Struthio camelus: one gene and its partner. The protein of the gene in region 2 purifies or fractionates together with the protein of the main gene of each other region. This does not show direct contact. Links are inferred from orthologs where the notes say so. Each region holds a gene or a part of one and is shown on either strand. Other genes may lie near its edges.

Region 1 (11,101 bases), on a different chromosome or scaffold from region 2:
CGGTTTGGGGAGCGAGCGGCGGAGGACACCGGAGCCGACGTCCCCGCCGCCGTGCAGAGAGCCATGTGCCTTAAAAGTGCCTTCTGCAGCAGCCCCCGCCGGTGCGGCTCTCCTACTGCACACGCAGAAGCGCACAGCGCAATCGCCTGTGCGTAAATGGGCAGCACACCCCAGGACTGCCTCTGCGCCAAATACACGCAGAAGGGGCGAAGGGCGAGAGCCACCCTCGTCCAGGCGCGGGAGAGGAGCGCCGGGGACAAAACGTGCTCGCGGGGGCAGCCGGGCTGGCGGCGCGCCCCGGCCACGCGGCTCCTCGCGCTCGCAGCCTTCCCCGAGGCGACAGCTTTGCCCTGCGCTGGCTGCCCCTTTGCAGGACGCTGTGCGGGCGCTGCCCAGGGGATACGGCCCAGAAGGTTTGCAACGTGCTGCTCATCGCTTTCTTTAAGCAGGAGTTTTAATTTACAGGCTTGGCCCATCGCCCCAGCGTCGCGGACCGTCTCCATCCCTCCCTCCCGCTCGCAAGCCGTTCACTTGCGCTCAAGGATCCTCTTCCAAGTGCATGTGTGCAGGTTTGTGGGGGGGAATTAAAGGGGTTTTAAAGAAATTACTGGGATTTTAGCTTCCCAGCCAGGCGTGTGCTGTCCTGCCTGGAGGGCACATCCCACTGGAAGCACCAACACCTGGTCAATTCGGTCACAACTGGTCATTTTTGGCGCTGCACTACAGGATCAATGTTTTCGGCAATGGCTCAAAGGGAAGAGCGTAAATCCCCACTCGGGCACTCGACCTCCGGGAGCACTTTGTCCCTCCCGGCTCCTTGCGAGCCGCGCACCCGAAGACAGCACGGCACAGCCGGAAGAGAAAGACAAGCCCCTGCAGAAAGCGCAATGCACTTAAAGCAACGCAATTGCACCCAAATGCACCTAAGCGGGACGGGCTAAGCTCCAGGCCACGTCCATGGAAATCAAGTGAAAGGAGCCTCCCGCGCGGCCAAACCGAGCTCTTCGGCCCTTTGCCGACGCGGGGTGGATGGTTACGTGCGGGATTCAGCCCGGCCTGGCCGTGAGCCCGGTCTGGATGGAGGCAGACCTGGCTCACGCAGGGACAGAGCGCCCCGAGTCGTCCTGCCCGTCGCGGGTGAGCACGATTTCGCTGGGTACAGCTCCAGATCTGGCTCGGATTGCTTAGGAATACAGCAGCATAAGCTGCCACCAGTCCTTCGCAAGGAGATGCTGCTGCATCTCTCCAGCCCGCAGCGCTATTATTCCTGTTAGCGGAGGCGTCACGTCCTTTCGCGGGTTTTAAGCGAAGAATAAACGCGCACCTGCTCCAACCAGAGCGATTTCTTGGGGAGAGGTGCAGACCTTTCCTTGAGCGCCTAGAGCAGATCACAGCTGCCTTCCCGGCCGGGCAAACGGCAGTGCAAAAGTCACGGGAATATGCTTGAAATCGCTGGCCACGTTGCCCGCTGCGCCCCTGCCCGGCCCCCGAGCAGAGCGCCCGGGGCCGCGCGGCGCCCCAGGAAGAAGGACATTTCCGTTCGCGCCCGCGATCGCCCGGAGACGCTCGTCTAGAGCGTTTACCTCGTTGCCAAAGCGTTTGGATCGGACTGGGACTGACTAGCGAGCCGCTTGGAAACCGCTGGGCAGAAACCTCCCTCGGCCACAGAGCTCGTCTCGGGAAAGAAATCCTGCTTTGCTGTCGTGAGGTTGAGCATCCCGTTGCAGCCGGGCTGCGCTCTCGATGTCGGTCGTAATTTCACACGTATCTGCATGGGCGCAGGTGCGTGCGTGTGTGCGTGTGTGTATATATGTATATGTGTATGTGTATCCCATACCTGTGTGCGTTGTAGCTGTGTTTTAGCAGGGGTGGATGGCTGGGATCGCCCCCTCGCAGCTCACGGGGCAGCACTGCATCCCCCAGGGCAAAGGACCGGGCCGGGTTTCTTTTTGGGTGCAAACTAGCCCAGTCCCCGGGCCTGCGATAGCCCCAAACCGACTCACCGCGGGGGGAAGCCGACCTCCCGCTCGGCTGCTCTTTAGCCCCGGGATAACGAGGAACGGCCCTCCGGAAAGGCCGGCAGAGAACGGCGTCCTGTCGACTGCTGCGGCAGGCACTTTTTGAAGGCCGTAACAGGCAGATATTTAAATATCGCCTGCGTTTGAAATGCAATGCAATTTCTGTCATTAGCTGGAGCACAGGGAAATAGGAGAGAGAGAAAAAAAAAAAAAGACACACTGGAAATTTTCTCTCCTGCTGGCTTCTGTGGTTAATCAAGTCTTTCAATAACCAAAACGGAGATAACAGGGCAAGGCACTCTTTGTACTCAGCGCGTTTGCAACAACAGATTATTTTTTGCCTAAAACATCTAAGCCACCAGCACAGTCATTTCTACGGTCGTCGCTCCCGGGCGGCTTACGCGGGAGGCAAGGACGGGACGGTCCCGCGCTGCCCACGGCCGCGAGGAGGCACGAGGCAGCGCGCCGGGAGCCCCAGCCCAGCATCTGGCCGCTAGCGAGGAGGCGATCCCCCCGGCCTGTCCGCGGCGCAAAGACAGCCGAGATAACCCCCCCCCCCAAAAAAAAAAAACAACGCAAGCAAAACGGGTGCTGGGCGCTGAAAAACGACCCCGAGAAGCAGCCGCGGGGCAAGACGTGCCGAGGCTTAGGGCGCGCGCCGACCCTGCCGCTCTCCAACCGCCGAGCAAGCTCAGCGGGCCGCTCCGCGCCGAGGCCTCGCCGGGGCGGGCGCACAAGGATTCGGGACAGCCCCCATCGCCTGCAGCCCCCCCCCGCTCGTCAAGAGCAGCCTGCAAAGCGGCCACGGTCCCCCCAAGCCCCCTGCGACATCGCTTCGCTGGCTGACCGAGGATGGACGGACAGATGGCCGGCCGGCCGGATAGCATCGCCGGCGCGGTGCGGCGCGGCTCGGCTCGCCCGTCGCCGCTGCGCCCGCCGCTCGCCGCCTGCGAGAACAGGCCGCGAGCGCCACGAGAAAACACCCTCGTTTCACTATTGTACGGGCAGTCTCGGGCGGCTTGAATTATTCATTTCCTTCGTTATCAGCGTCTGGCTTTCGTAACGGGGCTGGACGCGCGCGGCGTTACTCAGCAACGTCAGCTGCTTCGTTTCTTCGGCAGACGTCGTCCACGGCGCGACGGGCTCCCATAGAGCGCGCGCCGCCGGCGCCGCTCTCCCTGCGGCCCCCGTCCCGGGCGCCCGTGCCATCCGCCGCCCACCCTCGAAACCTGGGGGCCCTTCCGTTTGTTTCGAGGGCCGGACGAGCGAGGAGGCTGCTGCTCCGCTCCGCCGGCCCCGGCTGATTCCCCGCCGCCAAAGAGCCTCCCCGCGGTTTCCCGCGGGATGTACCGCCACCGGTTCCCCGGGATTCCCCCGTCCTCTTGCCCAGGGACGCGCCTGACACCGGGGGGCCGCGGACAAGCGTCCGGCGGGGCCGGAAACTCGTGTCGCTGTTTGCAAAGTACGATGTGAACTGCTGGCCCCCTCGCAAGAGGCACGCTAGGCAAGAAAGCCACCGTTAGACACCGGTTGACAATTCAGCCCGTCACAACAACGCACAGTAGTTGGGGGGGGGGGGGGACATCAATTTTAACAACATTAAGCAGCAAAAAAAAAATCTTCACGCCAGCCTAGACAGCGGTCAACAAATAGCTGAAAGCGCCCATGAGAAATCCGGCCACGGATCTGAGCGCGCACGTACATCCGCTCTGGCATTCAAGATTTATTAATAACGGCGGGAGCGGAGGGGAGGAACTCCTGGAAAATTTGGTTTTGAAGAAGAAGAAGCCGCCCCAGGCAAAGCCAGAAGCGAGGAGGGGAGAAGAGCGGCTCCAGAATTGCTAAATACATGCAAAGTTCAAAAGCGTCACGTGCGCCAGGTCCCCCTGCGAGCCGGTGCCTAGGTGCGTGGCGAAAGGTCCCCGCGGCTCTTCGCCCTGCTGTCCGAAGGGCCATCTGGCCCGGCCGTCACGTGCCCAGAGGAACAGATGAGGCTTGCTGAGCTCAGCTTCGAGCTGTTGCTTTTCCTTATGTGGCTGCAAAAAATAAATAAAAAAAAAAAAAGCAGCTCACACGGTGTGTGTTATCTTGCCTTCGCTCCGTCCCAGCTCGGCCACGCTGCGCGTGGGCACCTAGTGCCCCCAGCCCAAACGAGCCGCAGCGCCAAGCCGTTTTTCTCTGGATTATTTAGCATTCAGGTGTTTCGAGTGGATTGGAAAACTGGATTTCTTAATAGCTGTCAACAGCCAACCTGAGAGGAACACTCAGGGATGTAGGGGCCACGTGCCCCCGGGCTCGCGCAGGGGACCACGTCTTCTAACCCCTCTCAAAGCCGGGCATCATCTTCCCCCGTCCCTCTCCCAGGAGCAGCCAGGATCTCACTGCTTCCTCTTCATCCCTCTTCATCCTCTCTGTGCCAGCGTGGCTAACGTTCACAGGTGGCAGCTAGGCTGCGGTCTACATGGTGAGCACCTACTGCAGATCTCTTCTTTAGAAAACCAGTCAGCAGAGGAAGATGCTGGGTTATCGTCACGATCCGTCCCCGGAAGCCCCCATGGATCCTATTCCCCGCTTCCTTCTGCGCCTGTTGTTTTTCTTTAACCATTGATTCTAAATATTCGCATCTAAAAGGATCTATGGGCCTGCGGTTTCATTTGCGTTTTGTTAAGGACCGGAGCAAATTCTGCTTTCTCCAGGTGCGAGGCACCGCTCCGCAGACACCGGACGCGTCGGTCCAGCGCTGGTACCCGCTCGCATGCCCAGGCGCCGGTTCTGCCCCGGTCTGGCAGAAGGGCTCCGCCGCCTCCCCGCTCCGCTCTTCCGCCTCGCCCGGGGCTGTTTCCCTTTGCGCGGCCCGATTCCTCGCCCCGTGCAGGTGCCCGGGGCTACATCCCTCAGGGAGGACTGTGGCAGAGCAGCCATTCATCCCGGGCTCGCATGGTGTTCATCTTCCGCCTCAAGCTCGTTCTCAGTGAGGAACAGCCGCAAGTATTCCGCTCAAGGTTTTCCTGCTATTTTTGTGGCTGAAGGATGATGTTACGTGTTTTCATGCTGTTGGCCCAGCGTGACATTTGGCAGTTCCTGCTCAGCTCTCCCAAAGCCCTCCGAGAGCTGATCCAGCCCCGGCAGCCGCTCCGCTCCAGCTCCCAGCTCTCCCGGTTTCCCTCTGGTGGGTTTGGGGGTTCGGGAGCGCTTCATGTTTTTTCTTCCCTTGCTGGCAAGAGGATCTCCATAGTATTTTTGGCCTTTCGATTTACTTCACATCTCTACATCCCTGCTTCGGCGGCGGATCGCTCTCCGTTATCCCTCGGCGCTGGTGCTATGCGAGCCAGAGTCTTTCACTGCAGTCCTGTCTGATTCTCCAGCCATCTCCTCTAACCTGAACCAACGCCTGAGCATCCTGCCACCCATTAGCTTCGACTATTTTTCCCGTGAAGCGACTTCTCTAAGGAGGTCCTAGATGTTTGCCAAAGGCACTTCTAAAACAGCAAGGACCCCCTCCTCGTTTGGAGACGACTCCGGTGAGAAAACGCAGCTATTCCTCCAGGAATAGCTGGGAGCCACGCAACCCCACGCAGAAACAGCCCCGTTACTCAGCCGAGGAGTTTGGCAGCACGAGAAGCAGAAGATGGGCCTGGTTTTTCAAGTTGAAAATCAACCAGAAAACGAGACCTCCGAATCTTCAGGCTGCTGCCGCGCACCAGAAAGCAGCGGGTACGGCCACGCACGCTCTCGTCTCGCAGCCGCCTCTTGAGCCCGCCGCTCGCGCCGTGCAACGCGTCGGGCGCCGTCTCCGAAGCGCTGCCCCAGGCTCCCGCCCTGCAGCTCTCGGGCAACCGCGCCGCTCGCTAGCTCTCCCCTCGGCCCGCAGCCCCGCAGGCGTCGGGCGAAGCCCCTCAGTGCGCGCCCAAAAGTGCTCCCAAGAGCACGGGCACGCCTCGGCTTTGGCGGCCACCAGCACCCTGCTCTCCCCGACGGCCCGGGCGCCGCTTCGCCTTGGCATCGGCCAGCGCCGGGCTTTCCCCGAAAGGCTTCGCTCTCGCCAAAAGCGCGGGCGCCGCTTTGCTTTGAGCATCGCTGGTGCCCGGCCGGGGCTCGGCGGCGGCAGAGCAGCGGGGCGGGCTGGACGGGGCGGGCTGGACGGGGCGGGCTCGGCGGCGGTGGCGGGGCGGGCTGGACGGGGTGGGCTCGGCGGCGGCGGCGGTGGAGCGGCGGGGCGGGGCGGGCTCGGCGGCCGGGCGGGCTGGATGGGGCGGGCTGGACGGGGCGGGCTCGGCGGCGGCGGCGGGGCGGGCTGGACGGGGCGGGCTGGACGGGGCGGGCTCGGCGGCGGCGGCGGAGCGGCGGGGCGGGGCGGGCTCGGCGGCCGGGCGGGCTGGACGGGGCGGGCTGGACGGGGCGGGCTCGGCGGCGGCGGCGGAGCGGCGGGGCGGGGCGGGCTCGGCGGCCGGGCGGGCTGGACGGGGCGGCGCAGCGCTGCGGCTCCCGCCCCCGCCGGCGGCCCGGCCCCGCCGCCCCGCGCGCTCTCGCGAGGCCGCCGAGGCGCCTCCCCCGACGGCAGCATGGAGCGGGCGGGCGGCGGCGGCCGCGCCAGGAACCTGCCCTGGTAGGATCGGCTCGGACCGGGCCGGGGCGGCCCCGCGGCGCCCCTCACCTCGGGTCGGGTCGGGTCGGGGGCCGCCCCTCACCCCCGGCTCTGTGTTTAGGGTGGAGAAGTACCGCCCGCAGGCGCTGGCCGAGCTGGTGTCCCACCGAGACATCCTGAGCACCAGTAAGTAGCGGGCCCCGGGCCTCATCCTGCGCCTCCGCAGGGAGCCGGCGAGCGGGGCCGCGGCTGGCGTCCAGGCGTGCTGTGCCCGCTCCTCAGCCCGGCGCCCGCTCCCCCCCGCCGCCCTCCTGCCCCCTCCCCAGTCCAGAGGTTCGTCAGCGAGGACCGCCTGCCGCACCTGCTCCTGTACGGGCCTCCCGGGACCGGCAAGACCTCCGCCATCCTCGCCTGCGCCAGGCAGCTCTACAAGGAGCGCGAATTCAACTCCATGGTTTTAGAGGCAAGTCGGACGGACCCTCCGGCTTCGTCGCCTGCCGCCCGGTCCGAGGAACGGGCTGCGGGGCGAGGGCTGGGGCGGGCAGGGCTGTGCCTGCGGTTGGGCGGTCACCTGCTGTTTCTCGCGCCGGGCACCGAGACTGGCATGGAAATTGCTCCCGCCAAATGCCCGGAATGGGATTTTCCAAGGGGATCTTCCTCTCCCGTGCTGGGCCAAGGCGCTCCCAGCCTGGGCTGGGAGGGAGAGCATTGATGGGCGCCCCAGCTCAGGCGGGAACGGCAGCTGCCGCAGGGAGGGAGGAGAGCCACGGCCGCCACTGCTCTTCCCACCTTCTGTCCCTCTCTAGCTGAATGCCTCGGATGACAGAGGGATCGATATAGTCCGAGGGCCCATCCTGAGCTTCGCCAGCACCAGGACCATCTTTAAGTAAGTGGCAGGGCTGTATTTCCCTTCCTTTTCCCCCTCTGTCCGCAGCCCGGCCGGGCGCTGGGCTCAGGGGAGGTGGTTTTGCCAAGGAAGGAGGTGGCTTCTGGGGTGGGCTTTGTGGCCGAGCAGCCTGCGAAGGAGCTGGGAGTGCCCAGCACGCCACGAGGATGAGGGCGATAAGGCTGCTGGTCAGGAGGGCTCTGATGGTGCTGCTGAGATGCTCGGACGGGCGGAGGGAGCCTCAGCCTTAAACAGCATGTTCCCGGTGGGGCCGGGCTGGGGATAGGTGTCTCTCAGCTCCTTTCTCCAGCATCCAGCTTGACTCGACCCCAGCAGCTTCTAAAAGGCAGGCGAGACCGAAGCCACCTCCTTTCTCTCTCTTTTAGGAAAGGCTTCAAGCTGGTGATCCTGGATGAAGCAGATGCCATGACACAGGATGCCCAGAATGCCCTAAGGCGAGGTGAGGGGCCTGGGGGGCTCGGTCGGGACAGTGGTGTGACCCCACGCTGTTGGCACCCCTCGAGCCTTTTCCAGCCAGGAAAAGGACACGGCTGGCAGCCCCCTCCCACAAGGCACGTGCTCTAGGGCCTCCGTCGTGGATGGCTACGGACCTCGGCAGATGCAGCACCTCTCCTACCTTCTCCTTGCAGTGATCGAGAAGTTCACCGAGAACACCCGGTTTTGCCTCATCTGCAACTACCTCTCCAAGATCATCCCTGCCCTGCAGTCCCGCTGCACGCGCTTCCGGTTCGGGCCCCTCACCCCGGAGCTCATGGTGCCCCGGCTGCAGCACGTCATCGAGGAGGAGAGGTGAGCGAAGGGCACAGGGACGGCGCGGGATGCCGGGGTGGGGGCTCCGCAGTGGTCCCCCTTCCCTCCCGCTCCCCCTGCCTGGGAGGGAACAGCAGCTTCGTTGCTTTTTCCAGGGTTATTTCAAGCAAGTTCTTCCAGCTCTTCCATCAGCAGCGTTGGCTCCCAAGGGCAGGGCTCTGCCCAGCTAATGAAGGCTCTCCGGGGCCGGTCCTGCCCGTGTTTCACCCAGGCCGTGCCAGGAGCCCCGCAGGTGCAAGGAGATCAGCCTGGCCCCGCAGCAGGGGGGCTGCTAACCATCCTTAGGGACAGAGGGGCCAGGGTGGGCCCAGCTGTCCTCTGCTTTACAAGCCAGAGGGGCGGGCAGGCAGAGATTAGGCAGATACACATGTTCTGAGCAAAATTAACCCAATGGCTAGTTATTAATTTTTGCTTTAGGACAAAAAAAAAAAAACCTTCAGTGTCGCAGTGATCTTGTATTTAACTGTCTCCTCAGACTTCAGCTGCATTTGAAATCCAGTGCTGCTGGGCAATTTGTTGTAACGGTGCAAAAAGTACTTAACACTGCAAAAAGTTGCAGTGTTGCTGTTGGCCTTTCTGAAGCCGAATATCCACTTCTTGCCCTCACCTGCCCAGCTGTTTGCGTGAAATAGCCACCGAGGCGGCTGCAAACTTACAAACCAGCTTCACAGCCAACAGCACCAGCCACTGCCCGCGCTGGTGCTGGGCTCTGAGCTCCCGGCCTCGTCCCTGGGCTCCGCGGGAGCGTTACGGAGACCGGGGCCGTGCCACAAAGCTGCCATGGTGGCGTGCTGGGTGTCACCTTGGGCTAGTATCTGGAGAGCCGGCCGTCCTTCGGCTCTCTCTCGCCCTGTGCGGCAGCCCCAGTTCTCCTGGTCTTCCAGGGTGGATGTGACGGAAGATGGGATGAAAGCTTTGGTGACCCTCTCGAGCGGCGATATGCGCAGAGCCCTGAATATCTTACAGGTACGGCCCGTGGCTGCACCTCACGCTGTCCGCAGCAGACACGAGCGTTAGTTGCCTCGCGTAACCCAGGAGCCAGTTGTCCCTGCTGCCTGGAGGGAGTCGCAGAGGAAGGGCTGGCCCCCAGGGAGCCCCTTCCCTCTGCAGCCCTCCTCACCCTTCCTCTTCCCCAGAGCACCGCCATGGCCTTCGGGAGGGTGACGGAGGAGAACGTTTACACCTGCACCGGCCACCCCCTCAAGTCTGACATTGCCAACATCCTTGACTGGATGCTGAACCAGGACTTTTCCGCTGCCTATCGGAGTATCCTTTTCTCTCAGCCTTGCACAGCCCACAGCCGACCAGGGTTGCCTTGAAGCCCGAGCGAGGGCGGTGGAGATGCTTGCTCAAAACAGAGTTCCTGCTAATTCCCCTCCATCCTTGAGTGTAATCCCCGTTGTTGTAAACCCTCCTCTTTTCCAGGGCTTCCCGTCCCGTTACGTCCTGCCCTGGCTGGGGCAGGGCTGGGCCGCGCGTGCCGTGCTGCTCGCTGGGGAGGGTCTCGCTCCCCACCCGCGCTCTCCTGGGGGTGGCTCGCGTCCTGCAGGTCACAGGGAAAGCGCTGCAAGGAAACCCCTTCACTCACTGCCGTCTCAGAAATCACGGAGCTGAAGACGCTGAAGGGCTTGGCCCTGCACGACATCCTCACCGAGATTCACCTGTTTGTGCACCGAGGTGTGAAGCCCGCGCGCTCGGCCCCTCTGCCGGGGGACAGGCATCCCTGCAGCCTGCGCTCGCTCACGCTCGTCTCCTTCTCTCCGCAGTCGATTTCCCACCTTCGGTCCGTATCCAGCTGCTGACCAAAATGGCAGACATCGAGTAAGCGTCCACTCGACCCCCCCGCGGCGCTCCTCGGCCGACGCTGCCGCTCAGGAGGGCTGCCAGCGCTCCCAGCCCGCGGGCTTACCGCTAACGCGCCGTGCCTGGTCTTCACGGCAGGCAGGGGCTGTCGGGAGCCTCCCCTGCACGCCGGCCGCTGCTTCGTGCCCCCGCTGGCGCCTGCCCAGTGCTGCTCTGAGTTTGTCCTGTCCCAGCCAGAGCTGTCACTCCATCAGGACGCTGCTGTAAGTGCTTAAACCTGCCCTTTCCTCCTGCTCCAGGTACCGGCTGGCTGCGGGGACAAGCGAAAAGATTCAGCTGAGCTCCCTCATTGCGGCTTTCCAAGTCACCAGAGACCTGATTGTGGCCGAAGCCTGAGTCCTGCTGGGGTGGGCGCCATCTGCCCCCAGCGGAGGGGTGAAGCGTCCTTGTCTGCAATCCGGGGCGGAAGAGAAGCTCGAGGGGACCATCAGCCCCCCGTGCCCTGACCTGCCTCGATGCTCGGGGCAAACTGCCGGAGCAGAGAACGTAGCTTCTTGTTTCCTTTTTTTGCCAGCCGCCTGCCCGCAGCTGGGGGGGGGGCGAGATGGGCCGCGGTGCTGATCAGCTTCACCGGGAAATGCAGACACCTCTAAAGCCGAGCAGGTTGCATTCGTCTTTTTTCTGCCATACAGGGAACAAGGGCTGAAGGGAGGCAGCTGAGGCTCCCCCCGGGCCCGTCCGTAACGAATAACGCGTCCCATTGCCAAGGCACCGGCGTCCTTCGGCCGGTGGCAAGAGCACGCTCCACGCGCCAACCCGCTGACCCTGCAGAGCTCAGCGGAGCTTCACTGAGCCGTTGGGTGCTGCGGCCGGGCTCGGAGGCGGCTGCCGCCGCCCTCCTCCTCCTCGGCGGCGGCGGCGAGTTAGCCTTACAGCCGCAAAGGGCAAAGTCCAGCCGCCGTCACCTGTATGCAAAAC
Region 2 (11,213 bases):
TGCACCTGGCGTTTGCCCCCCAAGGGCAGCATTTGCTCTAGGGTATGCCTAGTCTCTACAGGCAGGGCTCCCAAGGAGGTGTTTGCCCTCAGAGGGGAACGCTTGCCCCAGCGGGTGTTTGGGCTTTATGTGGGTGTTTGCTCCCATGGAGTGGTATTTGCCGTGGGGAGGTTGCCTGGACAGTACGTGGGCAGGATCCCGGCGGGTATTTGCCCCACGAGGTGGTTATTTGCCTCAAGGGGTGTCTGGCTGAGTGCCAGCTCTGATGCCTGTGCCAGGTGGTGGAGGATGGCTACGAGTTTTTCGCCAAGCGCCAGCTTGTGACGCTCTTCTCGGCGCCCAACTACTGTGGGGAGTTCGACAACGCGGGTGCCATGATGAGCGTGGATGAGACCCTCATGTGCTCCTTCCAGGTGGGCTGGGGCCCTCAACGCCCATGGGGTTGGGGGCAGGAGGGAAGGGCGGGAGGGTCCCCGGTTTCTGCAGGGCTGGGGTAGGGAGGGGAAGGGCGGTCCTGGTGCATGCAGGGTTGGGGGGCAAGAGGGGAAGTAGAGGGAGTCCCCGGTACACGTGGAACTGGGGGGCAAGGAGAGGTGTTGGGGGTTCCACAGTGCCCGCAAGGCAGGAGGGGACCTGGGGGGCTCCCGTGCCCGCAGGGTTGGGGGACAGGATGGGACACGCACGTGCAAGCCCTCCACTCACCCCCTTCACCCCAGATCCTGAAGCCGGCCGACAAGAACAAGGGCAAATACGGGCAGTTCAGCGGGCTCAACCCCGCGGGACGCCCCGTCACCCCTCCCCGCAACTCCGCCAAAGCCAAGAAGTGAGCCGTGAGCCACCAGCCCGCTGCCCACCCGCTGAGGGCACGGGGCCCGGCCTGGTGCCCGCGGGCCCCAGCCCTCCCCAGCATCAGGTTGCTTTTCTTTCAATTCGTTTTTTTATTTGTAATATCCCCCTCCCCCCCCGCCACACTCCACAGTACCAAAAACACCCCTCCGGGGCCGGGAACGCGAGGGGCAACTGGGGGAACCTGTCCCCAGGATGGCAGTGGAGGGGGGGCAGGGGGTTTTTTGGGAATAAACTTGTAATGGGTCGTGGGGGGGTGCCTGTGTCTGGGGGCTGATGCTGGGACTGGGGGGGCAGCAGTGCCCAGCTGTGCCCATTGTGGCGCCTGGGTGCTGGGGGGTGACGCCGCGGGGGGGAGCCACGTGCCTGGTTCGCGGTTGCAGCCGTTCCACGAGGAACCCAGGCGTCCAGCCCCAGAGAGGGGGCGCCCAGGCAGCGCCAGCCACTGCCGTGCAAGGGCCCTGGGGCCAGCCCAGCTCCGAGTGCGGCCATGCTCGCAGGCCGGGGGTGCTGTGGACAGTGCGGGGGGCCCGCGGGGGCCAGGGAGCTTGGCGGCGTCAGGGCTGTCAGTACTCGCCATCGCTGTCCTCTGCCAGCACCTCCTGGGTTGGGGCCACGCATGGCCCTCCCGGTGTCAGCACGGAGCCAAAAAACAGTGAGCGAAACTAAGAGGGGAGAGACAGGGCTCAGGGAGGGCGCTGTGCCCGTCCCCATGTCCCCCAGGTACACCCGTGCCCATCCCAGACCTTCTTGTGAGGGGGTGTCCCTGGCACAGCTTCTTCCTCCTCCTCTTCAGGCTCACTGTCTGCTGGGCCAGGGGTACGCAGGGGGAAGGTGGGGCTGGGGGGCACGCCGGAGCCTCCCTCATAGGTGCTGGTTTCCATGGCAATCATGTAGGGTTCAAGATCGTCTGCGAAGTCGTCCGGAGGGGCAGGCAAGTCAGAGGCACTGTGTTGGGGAGAGAGCAAGTAAGGGGAGCAGAGGGAAGCTTGTTGATTCTGGCCCCTACTGATGGCAGCTGGAGGGCTGAGCTGGGACTGTCACCCCCGCCGAGGCTGGGAGCACTGGGCACTGTCCTGCTTACCCGTTGGCCGTGGGGGATTGCGAGCTGCTGTCCGGATCCGAGAGGGTGGCCAAGACCAGGTGCACTTCCAGCAGGGGGTCATCCACGGTGAACACTGCTGGCCTGGGGACACAGAGGGCCTGAGGCTCGGCACGGGAGCGCAGGGGGCGGCCAGGGGCCTGGTCCTACCTGCCGGGTGCGTCATAGTGGATGGTGAGAGGCAGGTTCGAGGCCTCAGCGAAGGTCAGGAGCCCCTGTGGGGCAAAGATGAGGCTGAGGTAGGCAGAGGAGTAAACTGGAGCACCCTGGCATAAAGGGGAGGGGGCCGCAGTAGGGGCTCACCCGAAACTCCTTGAGGCAGAAGGTGATGCAGGTACCCGGGGCCACGGCCACCGTCTGGAACTCGTCCTCAGCCAGCCACAGCTCCGTCACCATCGTCCTGCCCAACTCTGGGGGGGCGGGGGGGGGGATCAGGGGGTCATGCTGGGGCCCCGGCCCAGGGGAGCGGGCAGACGCTGCCCGCCAGGCGTCATGGCTCACCCTTCTCATCCTCCACGTAGTTTCGGAGGCTGATCTTGCCCCCAGGGCCGGCGCCCAGCGTCACCTCAGCCAGTGTCGCGGGGAAGTGGACCACGGCCTCGGCCAGGACCCTGGGGGGCCGTGGTGCGTGGGGCTGGCAGGGGTGCATGCGCAGAGCTGGGGGCCCTGTGCCCACCCCGGGGCCTGCAGGGCCAGCCCTGCCCACCAGCAATCCCCCTTCTATCCCCAGTGTCCCCCACCCATCCCAGTGCCACCCCAATCCCCATGCCATGTCCCCACCCATCCCAGTGCCACCCTGATCCCCATTCCAGTGTCCCCCCCCCGATCCCCATGCCATGCCCCCCCACCCATCCCAGTGTCCCCCCAATCCTGCCAGTGCCCATCCTAATACCATCTGCAAACCCCTCGCTCTGCCCATAGTGCCACCCCTGATCCCCACTTCGCATTGCCCCAGTGCCAGCCCTGTGCCACCGCTGCTTCCTGCAGCTCCCAGTTCTCCGCTCTCATCCCCCTCCCAGGCGCTGCCGCACTGCTCCGGCCCCGCTCTGCCCCTTGTCACCCCACAGCCGCCCTGCTCACCGGGCTGGGGCACAGAGGCTGTTGGCGCACTGCTGCGTGCTGAAGACGGCCTGAAGCCGCTCGCACTCCTGGAAGGCCAGGTTATGGGTCTTGGTGACACCTGGTGCAGGAGGCACGGGCTCAGCGGGGCAGGGGTGGCCCCGGCAGCCTGGGTGGCGCCGGTGCCCACACACTGCCCTCCAGCGCTCACCGTACTTGCAGTGGAGCTGCACGACCAGGCGGCTAGCCTGGGGCTTGAGCAAGATGAGGCATTTCCCCACCGTCTTCTCCAGCGAGGGCAGCGACCGGAAGATGCCCAGGAAGGACTGCAGACACAGGACAGATGTGTGGACCCGTCACCCTGTCCTGCCGCCCCACGTGGCTGCAGAAGGACTGGGACCCGAAGGGGACGCCGGGGCGCAGGCTCCCAGAGGCAGGGCGGCCAGGCGCCGGGTACCTTCATGAGGACTTTGCAGCGGAAGAGCTCCCCAGCGGGCTGGGGGCTGCCCTTCTCATAGAGCTGGAAGAAGAGGGGGGCGAAGAGGAAGGAGGCGAAGGCCGAGCGCGAGGAGTTCACAGCCCGCAGGGACAGCTGGGGGGACAGCGCGGCCGTCACCGTGCGGGGCCTCTCCCGCTGCCCCAAAGGCCTGGACGCCCGGGCAGAGACCCGCGCCTCCCCGGAGTCGGGAGCCACGGGCCCCCTCAGCGCCCCTTACCCCGTTGTCGGCGGGCTCCAAGTAGAGCTCGTCCCCGATGCGGGACAGCGAGTGCACGGCTTTGCCGAGGACTGGTGAGGCGGCAGAGAGGGGGTGAGGTGGGGCAGCGCCCCCGGCCCGCCCCGGCCCCGGTGCCGCCCCGCTCACCTTTCACGTTGCCTCCCCCGACGACGCACCTCATGGCGCCGGGCTGCCGCCGCCACCGGGCCAGGCTCAGCACTGGGGACCACGACGGGGCCAGCGCCAGGCCTCGGTCCTGCTGAGGCCCGTGCCTTAGCCCCGCCCCGGCCACACCCTGCTTGGCCCCGCCCCCAGCACTGCCCCGCCCCTCGATGGTTGTGAGCTTCCCCCCACCCCCATCCTCCGCGCCCAACACCCGCACGGTCGCACCCCCTCCGCCCCGGGAGCACCGACAAGATGGCGCCCACCCCCGCTCCCCAACGGCCCCTGGGAATGGTTTAATCCACGCATTCCACACACCCCCCCCCCCGCGGCCCCGAGTGGTTGCTCCCGCTTCGCCTCACCGCTGCGCAGGCTTCTGCGCTCCGCGCGCCGCCCTCACTCGTTCTCTTCCCATTGGGCGGGCGCCCGCCTTCGCAACGCCCCCACGGGAGGCCTATTGGCTGGCGCGGCCACGTGAGCGGCTGAGAGGCTCCGGCTGCCCTCCGTCCTCGCGCCAAGCGTCGCGTCACCTGACGCAGGGGCGGAGCCTTCCCCCCTCCCCCGCTCCTAGCGCCGCGCGGGTTCGGCGCTGCGCGTGCAGGTGAGCCCGCCTCCTGCCGCCTGGCCATTGGGCGGGAGAGCACAGACGACGCCGAAGACTGGAGAGAGAGTTTGAGCGACATAGCCGTTAGCCAATAGGACGTCGACTGCGGGAGGCGGGACGGGGGACGAGCGTTCCCCCTCAGAGAGTCTTAAGGCAGTGAGCGCGGTAGGGTATGTGGCGGGTGCTTGGGTTGGTAGGGGCTCGCTGGCTCCAGCCCTGCCCTGGGCCACTGGCTCTGGGCCCTGCCTGCCCTCCCTACAACTTGCCGTGATCTGGTTCCTGGCCCTCTGTTGTGTTCTTACCCCATCCCGAGGCCGCGGGCCTGGACTACTCTGTCCCTGCCCAATCTCTTAGGCATATGCCCTGGCCTCTGGCCCTCCCCTATGTCCCTGCCCCGTCTCCAAGGTCGTGGCCCGGTCCTTGGCCTTCCCCTGTGTCCCATCTCCAGGCTGGTGGCCTGGACCTTGGCCCTCCCCTGTGTCCCTGCCCCATCTCCAGGCTGGTGGCCCGGTCCTTGGCCCTCCCCTGTGTCCCTGCCCCGTCTCCAGGCTGGTGGCCCGGTCCTTGGCCCTCCCCTGTGTCCCATCTGCAGGCTGGTGGCCCGGTCCTTGGCCCTCCCCTGTGTCCCTGCCCTGTCTCCAAGGTCGTGGCCCGGTCCTTGGCCCTCCCCTATGTCCCATCTCCAGGCTGGTGGCCCGGTCCTTGGCCCTCCCCTGCGTCCCTGCCCCATCTCCAAGGTCATGGCCCAGTCCTTGGCCCTCCCCTGTGTCCCTGCCCAATCTCCAGGGTGGTGGCCTGATCCTTGTCCGTCCCCTGTGTCCCTGCCCCATCTCCAAGGTCGTGGCCCGGTCCTTGGCCCTCCCCTGTGTCCCATCTCCAGGCTGGTGGCCTGGTCCTTGGCCCTCCCCTGTGTCCCTGTCCCATCTCCAAGGTCGTGGCCCATTCCTTGGCCCTCCCCTGTGTCCCTGCCCCGTCTCCAAGGTTGTGGCCCGGTCCTTGGTGCTCCCCTGTGTCCCTGCCCCGTCTCCAGGCTGGTGGCCCAGTCCTTGGCCCTCCCCTGTGTCCCTGCCCTGTCTCCAAAGTCGTGGCCCGGTCCTTGGCCCTCCCCTGTGTCCCATCTCCAGGCTGGTGGCCTGGTCCTTGGCCCTCCCCTGTGTCCCTGCCCCGTCTCCAGGCTGGTGGCCCAGTCCTTGGCCCTCCCCTGTGTCCCATCTCCAGGCTGGTGGCCCGTTCCTTGGCCCTCCCCTGTGTCCCTGCCCCGTCTCCAAGGTCGTGGCCCGTTTCTTGGCCCTCCCCTGTGTCCCATCTCCAGGCTGGTGGCCTAGTCCTTGGCCCTCCCCTGTGTCCCTGCCCCGTCTCCAAGGTGGTGGCCTGATCCTTGGCCTCCCCTGTGTCCGGTCTCCAAGGTCGTAGCCCTGTCCTTGGCCCTCCCCTGTGTCCCATCTCCAGGCTGGTGGCCCGGTCCTTGGCCCTTCCCTGTGTCCCTGCCCCGTCTCCAAGGTCGTGGCCCGGTCCTTGGCCCTCCCCTGTGTCCCGTCTCCAGGCTGGTGGCCCAGTCCTTGGCCCTCCCCTGTGTCCCTGTCCTATCTCCAGGCTGGTGGCCCGGTCCTTGGCCTCCCCTGTGTCCGGTCTCCAAGGTCGTGGCCCTGTCCTTGGCCCTCCCCTGTGTCCCGTCTCCAAAGTCGTGGCCCGGTCCTTGGCCCTTCCCTGTGTCCCTGCCCCGTCTCCAAGGTTGTGGCCCGGTCCTTGGCCCTCCCCTGTGTCCCATCTCCAGGCTGGTGGCCCAGTCCTTGGCCCTCCCCTGTGTCCCTGCCCCGTCTCCAGGCTGGTGGCCCTGTCCTTGGCCCTCCGCTGTGTCCCGTCTCCAGGCTGGTGGCCCGGTCCTTGGCCCTCCCCTGTTTCCCTGCCCTATCTCCAAGGTCGTGGCCCGGTCCTTGGCCCTCCCCTGTGTCCCATCTCCAGGCTGGTGGCCCAGTCCTTGGCCCTCCCCTGTGTCCCTGCCCCGTCTCCAAGGTCGTGGTCCGGTCCTTGGCCCTCCCCTGTGTCCCTGCCCCGTCTCCAGGCTGGTGGCCCGGTCCTTGGCCCTCCCCTGTGTCCCATCTCCAGGCTGGTGGCCCGGTCGTTGGCCCTCCCCTGTGTCCCTGCCCCGTCTCCAGACTGGTGGCCAGGTCCTTGGCCCTCCCCTGTGTCCCTGTCCCGTCTCCAGGCTGGTGGCCTAGTCCTTGGCCCTCCCCTGTGTCCCTGCCCAATCTCCAGGGTGGTGGCCTGATCCTTGTCCGTCCCCTGTGTCCCTGCCCCATCTCCAAGGTTGTGGCCCGGTCCTTGGCCCTCCCCTGTGTCCCATCTCCAGGCTGGTGGCCTGGTCCTTGGCCCTCCCCTGTGTCCCTGTCCCATCTCCAAGGTCGTGGCCCATTCCTTGGCCCTCCCCTGTGTCCCTGCCCCGTCTCCAAGGTTGTGGCCCGGTCCTTGGCCCTCCCCTGTGTCCCTGCCCCGTCTCCAGGCTGGTGGCCCAGTCCTTGGCCGTCCCCTGTGTCCCTGCCCCGTCTCCAAAGTCGTGGCCCGGTCCTTGGCCCTCCCCTGTGTCCCATCTTCAGGCTGGTGGCCCAGTCCTTGGCCCTCCCCTGTGTCCCTGCCCCGTCTCCAGGCTGGTGGCCCAGTCCTTGGCCCTCCCCTGTGTCCCATCTCCAGGCTGGTGGCCCGTTCGTGGCCCTCCCCTGTGTCCCTGCCCCGTCTCCAAGGTCGTGGCCCGGTCCTTGGCCCTCCCCTGTGTCCCATCTCCAGGCTGGTGGCCTAGTCCTTGGCCCTCCCCTGTGTCCCTGCCCCGTCTCCAAGGTGGTGGCCTGATCCTTGGCCTCCCCTGTGTTCGGTCTCCAAGGTCGTAGCCCTGTCCTTGGCCCTCCCCTGTGTCCCATCTCCAGGCTGGTGGCCCGGTCCTTGGCCCTTCCCTGTGTCCCTGCCCCGTCTCCAAGGTCGTGGCCCGGTCCTTGGCCCTCCCCTGTGTCCCATCTCCAGGCTGGTGGCCCAGTCCTTGGCCCTCCCCTGTGTCCCTGTCCTATCTCCAGGCTGGTGGCCCGGTCCTTGGCCCTCCCCTGTGTCCCATCTCCAGGCTGGTGGCCCGGTCCTTGGCCCTCCCCTGTGTCCCTGCCCCATCTCCAGGCTGGTGGCCCGGTCCTTGGCCCTCCCCTGTGTCCCTGCCCGATCTCCAGGCTGGTGGCCCTGTCCTTGGCCCTCCCCTGTGTCCCTGTCCCGTATCCAGGCTGGTGGCCCGGTCCTTGGCCCTCCCCTGTGTCTCATCTTCAGGCTGGTGGCCCAGTCCTTGGCCCTCCCCTGTGTCCCTGCCCGATCTCCAGGCTGGTGGCCCAGTCCTTGGCCCTCCCCTGTGTCCCGTCTCCAGGCTGGTGGCCCGTTCCTTTTCCGTCCCCTGTGTCCCTGCCCCGTCTCCAAGGTCGTGGCCCGGTCCTTGGCCCTCCCCTGTGTCCCATCTCCAGGCTGGTGGCCCAGTCCTTGGTCCTCCCCTGTGTCCCTGCCCCGTCTCCAAGGTGGTGGCCTGATCCTTGGCCTCCCCTGTGTCCGGTCTCCAAGGTCGTAGCCCTGTCCTTGGCCCTCCCCTGTGTCCCGTCTCCAAAGTCGTGGCCCGGTCCTTGGCCCTTCCCTGTGTCCCTGCCCCGTCTCCAAGGTTGTGGCCCGGTCCTTGGCCCTTCCCTGTGTCCCATCTCCAGGCTGGTAGCCCGGTCGTTGGCCCTCCCCTGTGTCCCTGCCCTATCTCCAAGGTGGTGGCCCGGTCCTTGGCCCTCCCCTGTGTCCCATCTCCAGGCTGGTGGCCTGGTCCTTGGCCCTCCCCTGTGTCCCTGCCCTGTCTCCAACGTCATGGCCCTGTCCTTGGCCCTCCCCTGTGTCCCTGCCCCATCTCAAAGGTCGTGGGCCGGTCCTTGGCCCTCCCCTGTGTCCCTGCCCCGTCTCCAAGGTCGTGGCCTAGTACTTGGCCTCCCCTGTGTCCCGTCTGCAAGGTTGTGGCCCAGTCCTTGGCACTCCCCTGTGTCCCATCTCCAGGCTGGTGGCCCTATCCTTGGCCCTCCCCTGTGTCCCTGTCCCATCTCCAGGCTGGTGGCCCGGTCCTTGGCCCTCCCCTGTGTCCCATCTGCAGGCTGGTGGCCCGGTCCTTGGTGCTCCCCTGTGTCCCTGCCCCGTCTCCAGGCTGGTGGCCCAGTCCTTGGCCCTCCCCTGTGTCACATCTCCAGGCTGGTGGCCCGGTCCTTGGCCCTCCCCTGTGTCGCTGCCCCGTCTCCAAGGTAGTGGCCCGGTCCTTGGCCCTCCCCTGTGTCCCTGCCCTGTCTCCAAGGTCGTGGCCCGGTCCTTGGCCCTCACCTGTGTCCATGCCCGATCTCCAGGGTGGTGGCCCGGTCCTTGGCCCTCCCCTGTGACCCTGCCCGATCTCCAGGCTGGTGGCCCGATCCTTGGCCTCCCCTGTGTCCGGTCTCAAAGGTCATAGCCCTGTCCTTGGCCCTCCCCTTTGTCCCGTCTCCAGGCTGGTGGCCCGTTCCTTGGCCCTCCCCTGTGTCCCATCTCCAGGCAGGTGGCCCGTTCCTTGGCCCTCCCCTATGTCCCATCTCCAGGCTGGTGGCCTGGTCCTTGGCGCTCCACTGTGTCCCTGTCCCATCTCCAGGCTGGTGGCCCGATCCTTGGCCTCCCCTGTGTCCGGTCTCAAAGGTCATAGCCCTGTCCTTGGCCCTCCCCTGTGTCCCGTCTCCAGGCTGGTGGCCCCGTCCTTGGCCCTCCCCTGTGTCCCTGCCCCATCTCCAGGCTGGTGGCCTGGTCCTTGGCGCTCCCCTGTGTCCCTGCCCCGTCTCCAGGCTGGTGGCCTAGTCCTTGGCCCTCCCCTGTGTCCCTGCCCCATCTCCAAGATCGTGGCCCGGTCCTTGGCCCTCCCCTGTGTCCCTGCCCGATCTCCAGGCTGGTGGCCCGGTCCTTGGCCCTCCCCTGTGTCCCATCTCCAGGCTGGTGGCCCGGTCCTTGGCCCTCCCCTGTGTCTCTGCTCCGTCTCCAGGCTGGTGGCCCGGTCCTTGGCCCTCCCCTGTGTCCCATCTCCAGGCTGGTGGCCCGGTCCTTGGCCCTCCCCTGTGTCCCTGCCCCGTCTCCAGGCTGGTGGCCTGGTCCTTGGCCCTCCCCTGTGTCCCTGCCCCGTCTCCAAGGTGGTGGCCTGATCCTTGGCCTCCCCTGTGTCCGGTCTCCAAGGTCGTAGCCCTGTCCTTGGCCCTCCCCTGTGTCCCGTCTCCAAAGTCGTGGCCCGGTCCTTGGCCCTTCCCTGTGTCCCTGCCCCGTCTCCAAGGTTGTGGCCCGGTCCTTGGCCCTCCCCTGTGTCCCATCTCCAGGCTGGTAGCCCGGTCGTTGGCCCTCCCCTGTGTCCCTGCCCTATCTCCAAGGTGGTGGCCCGGTCCTTGGCCCTCCCCTGTGTCCCATCTCCAGGCTGGTGGCCTGGTCCTTGGCCCTCCCCTGTGTCCCTGCCCTGTCTCCAACGTCATGGCCCTGTCCTTGGCCCTCCCCTGTGTCCCTGCCCCATCTCCAAGGTCGTGGGCCGGTCCTTGGCCCTCCCCTGTGTCCCTGCCCCGTCTCCAAGGTCGTGGCCTAGTACTTGGCCTCCCCTGTGTCCCGTCTGCAAGGTTGTGGCCCAGTCCTTGGCACTCCCCTGTGTCCCATCTCCAGGCTGGTGGCCCTATCCTTGGCCCTCCCCTGTGTCCCTGTCCCATCTCCAGGCTGGTGGCCCGGTCCTTGGCCCTCCCCTGTGTCCCTGCCCCGTCTCCAGGCTGGTGGCCCGATCCTTGGCCCTCCCCTGTGTCCCTGCCCCATCTCCAAGGTCGTGGCCCTATCCTTGGCCCTCCCCTGTGTCCCTTCTCCAAGGTCGTGGCCCGGTCCTTGGCCCTCCCCTGTGTCCCTGCCCCGTCTCCAAGGTTGTGGCCCGATCCTTGGCCTCCCCTGTGTCCGGTCTCCAAGGTCCTAGCCCTGTCCTTGGCCCTCCCCTGTGTCCCGTCTCCAGGCTGGTGGCCCGTTCCTTGGCCCTCCCCTGTGTCCCATCTCCAGGCTGGTGGCCCGGTCCTTGGCCCTCCCCTGTGTCCCTGCCCCGTCTCCAGGGGGCCCTCCCCTATGTCCCATCTGCAGGCTGGTGGCCCGGTCCTTGGCCCTCCCCTGTGTCCCATGTCCAGGCTGGTGGCCCGGTCCTTGGCCCTCCCCTGTGTCCCTGCCCCGTCTCCAGGCTGGTGACCCAGTCCTTAGCGCTCCCCTGTGTCCCTGCCCCATCTCCAAGGTCGTGGCCCGATCCTTGGCCTCCCCTGTGTCCCTTCTCCAAGGTGGTGGCCCAGTCCTTGGCCCTCCCCTGTGTCCCGTCTCCAAGGTGGTGGCCCGGTCCTTGGCCCACCCCTGTGTCCCTGCCCCGTCTCCAAGGTTGTGGCCCTGTCCTTGGCCCTCCCCTGTGTCCCTATCCCGTCTCCAGACTGGTGGCCTAGTCCTTCGCCCTCCCCTGTGTCCGTGCCCAATCTCCAGGCTGGTGGCCCGGTCCTTGGCCCTCCCCTGTGTCCCTGCCCTGTCTCCAAGGTCGTGGCCCGGTCCTTGGCCCTCACCTGTGTCCATGCCCGATCTCCAGGGTGGTGGCCCGGTCCTTGGCCCTCCCCTGTGTCCCTGCCCCGTCTCCAGGCTGGTGGCCCGGTCCTTGGCCTCCCCTGTGTCCGGTCTC

Evidence for each region.
Region 1: the proteins of RAD9A (region 2) and RFC5 purify together in Homo sapiens (affinity purification with mass spectrometry; 3 studies listed by BioGRID and IntAct, with this or other methods). This does not show direct contact. The link is inferred for Struthio camelus from reciprocal best matches to the Homo sapiens genes RAD9A and RFC5.

What each region holds. Positions count from the first base shown.
Region 1 is NC_090958.1:5,304,152-5,315,252, reverse strand, and holds RFC5 (replication factor C subunit 5), read left to right. Parts: upstream 1-6,518; 5' UTR 6,519-6,580; coding exon 6,581-6,624; intron 6,625-6,724; coding exon 6,725-6,789; intron 6,790-6,929; coding exon 6,930-7,066; intron 7,067-7,409; coding exon 7,410-7,489; intron 7,490-7,875; coding exon 7,876-7,949; intron 7,950-8,139; coding exon 8,140-8,299; intron 8,300-9,204; coding exon 9,205-9,286; intron 9,287-9,456; coding exon 9,457-9,586; intron 9,587-9,919; coding exon 9,920-9,997; intron 9,998-10,086; coding exon 10,087-10,141; intron 10,142-10,422; coding exon 10,423-10,519; 3' UTR 10,520-10,782; downstream 10,783-11,101. UniProt on the Homo sapiens protein: Subunit of the replication factor C (RFC) complex which acts during elongation of primed DNA templates by DNA polymerases delta and epsilon, and is necessary for ATP-dependent loading of proliferating cell nuclear antigen (PCNA) onto primed DNA.
Region 2 is NC_090946.1:3,695,971-3,707,183, reverse strand, and holds RAD9A (cell cycle checkpoint control protein RAD9A), read right to left. Parts: upstream 4,577-11,213; 5' UTR 4,569-4,576; coding exon 4,248-4,568; intron 4,173-4,247; exon of another isoform or gene 3,980-4,172; coding exon 3,871-3,979; intron 3,795-3,870; coding exon 3,724-3,794; intron 3,600-3,723; coding exon 3,465-3,599; intron 3,334-3,464; coding exon 3,219-3,333; intron 3,129-3,218; coding exon 3,029-3,128; intron 2,583-3,028; exon of another isoform or gene 2,560-2,582; coding exon 2,450-2,559; intron 2,359-2,449; coding exon 2,252-2,358; intron 2,164-2,251; coding exon 2,099-2,163; exon of another isoform or gene 2,033-2,098; coding exon 1,931-2,032; intron 1,795-1,930; coding exon 1,593-1,794; intron 1,512-1,592; coding exon 1,413-1,511; 3' UTR 919-1,412; downstream 1-918. Other genes in the region: PPP1CA (serine/threonine-protein phosphatase PP1-alpha catalytic subunit), read left to right, coding at 279-413, 717-827. UniProt on the Homo sapiens protein: Component of the 9-1-1 cell-cycle checkpoint response complex that plays a major role in DNA repair. The 9-1-1 complex is recruited to DNA lesion upon damage by the RAD17-replication factor C (RFC) clamp loader complex.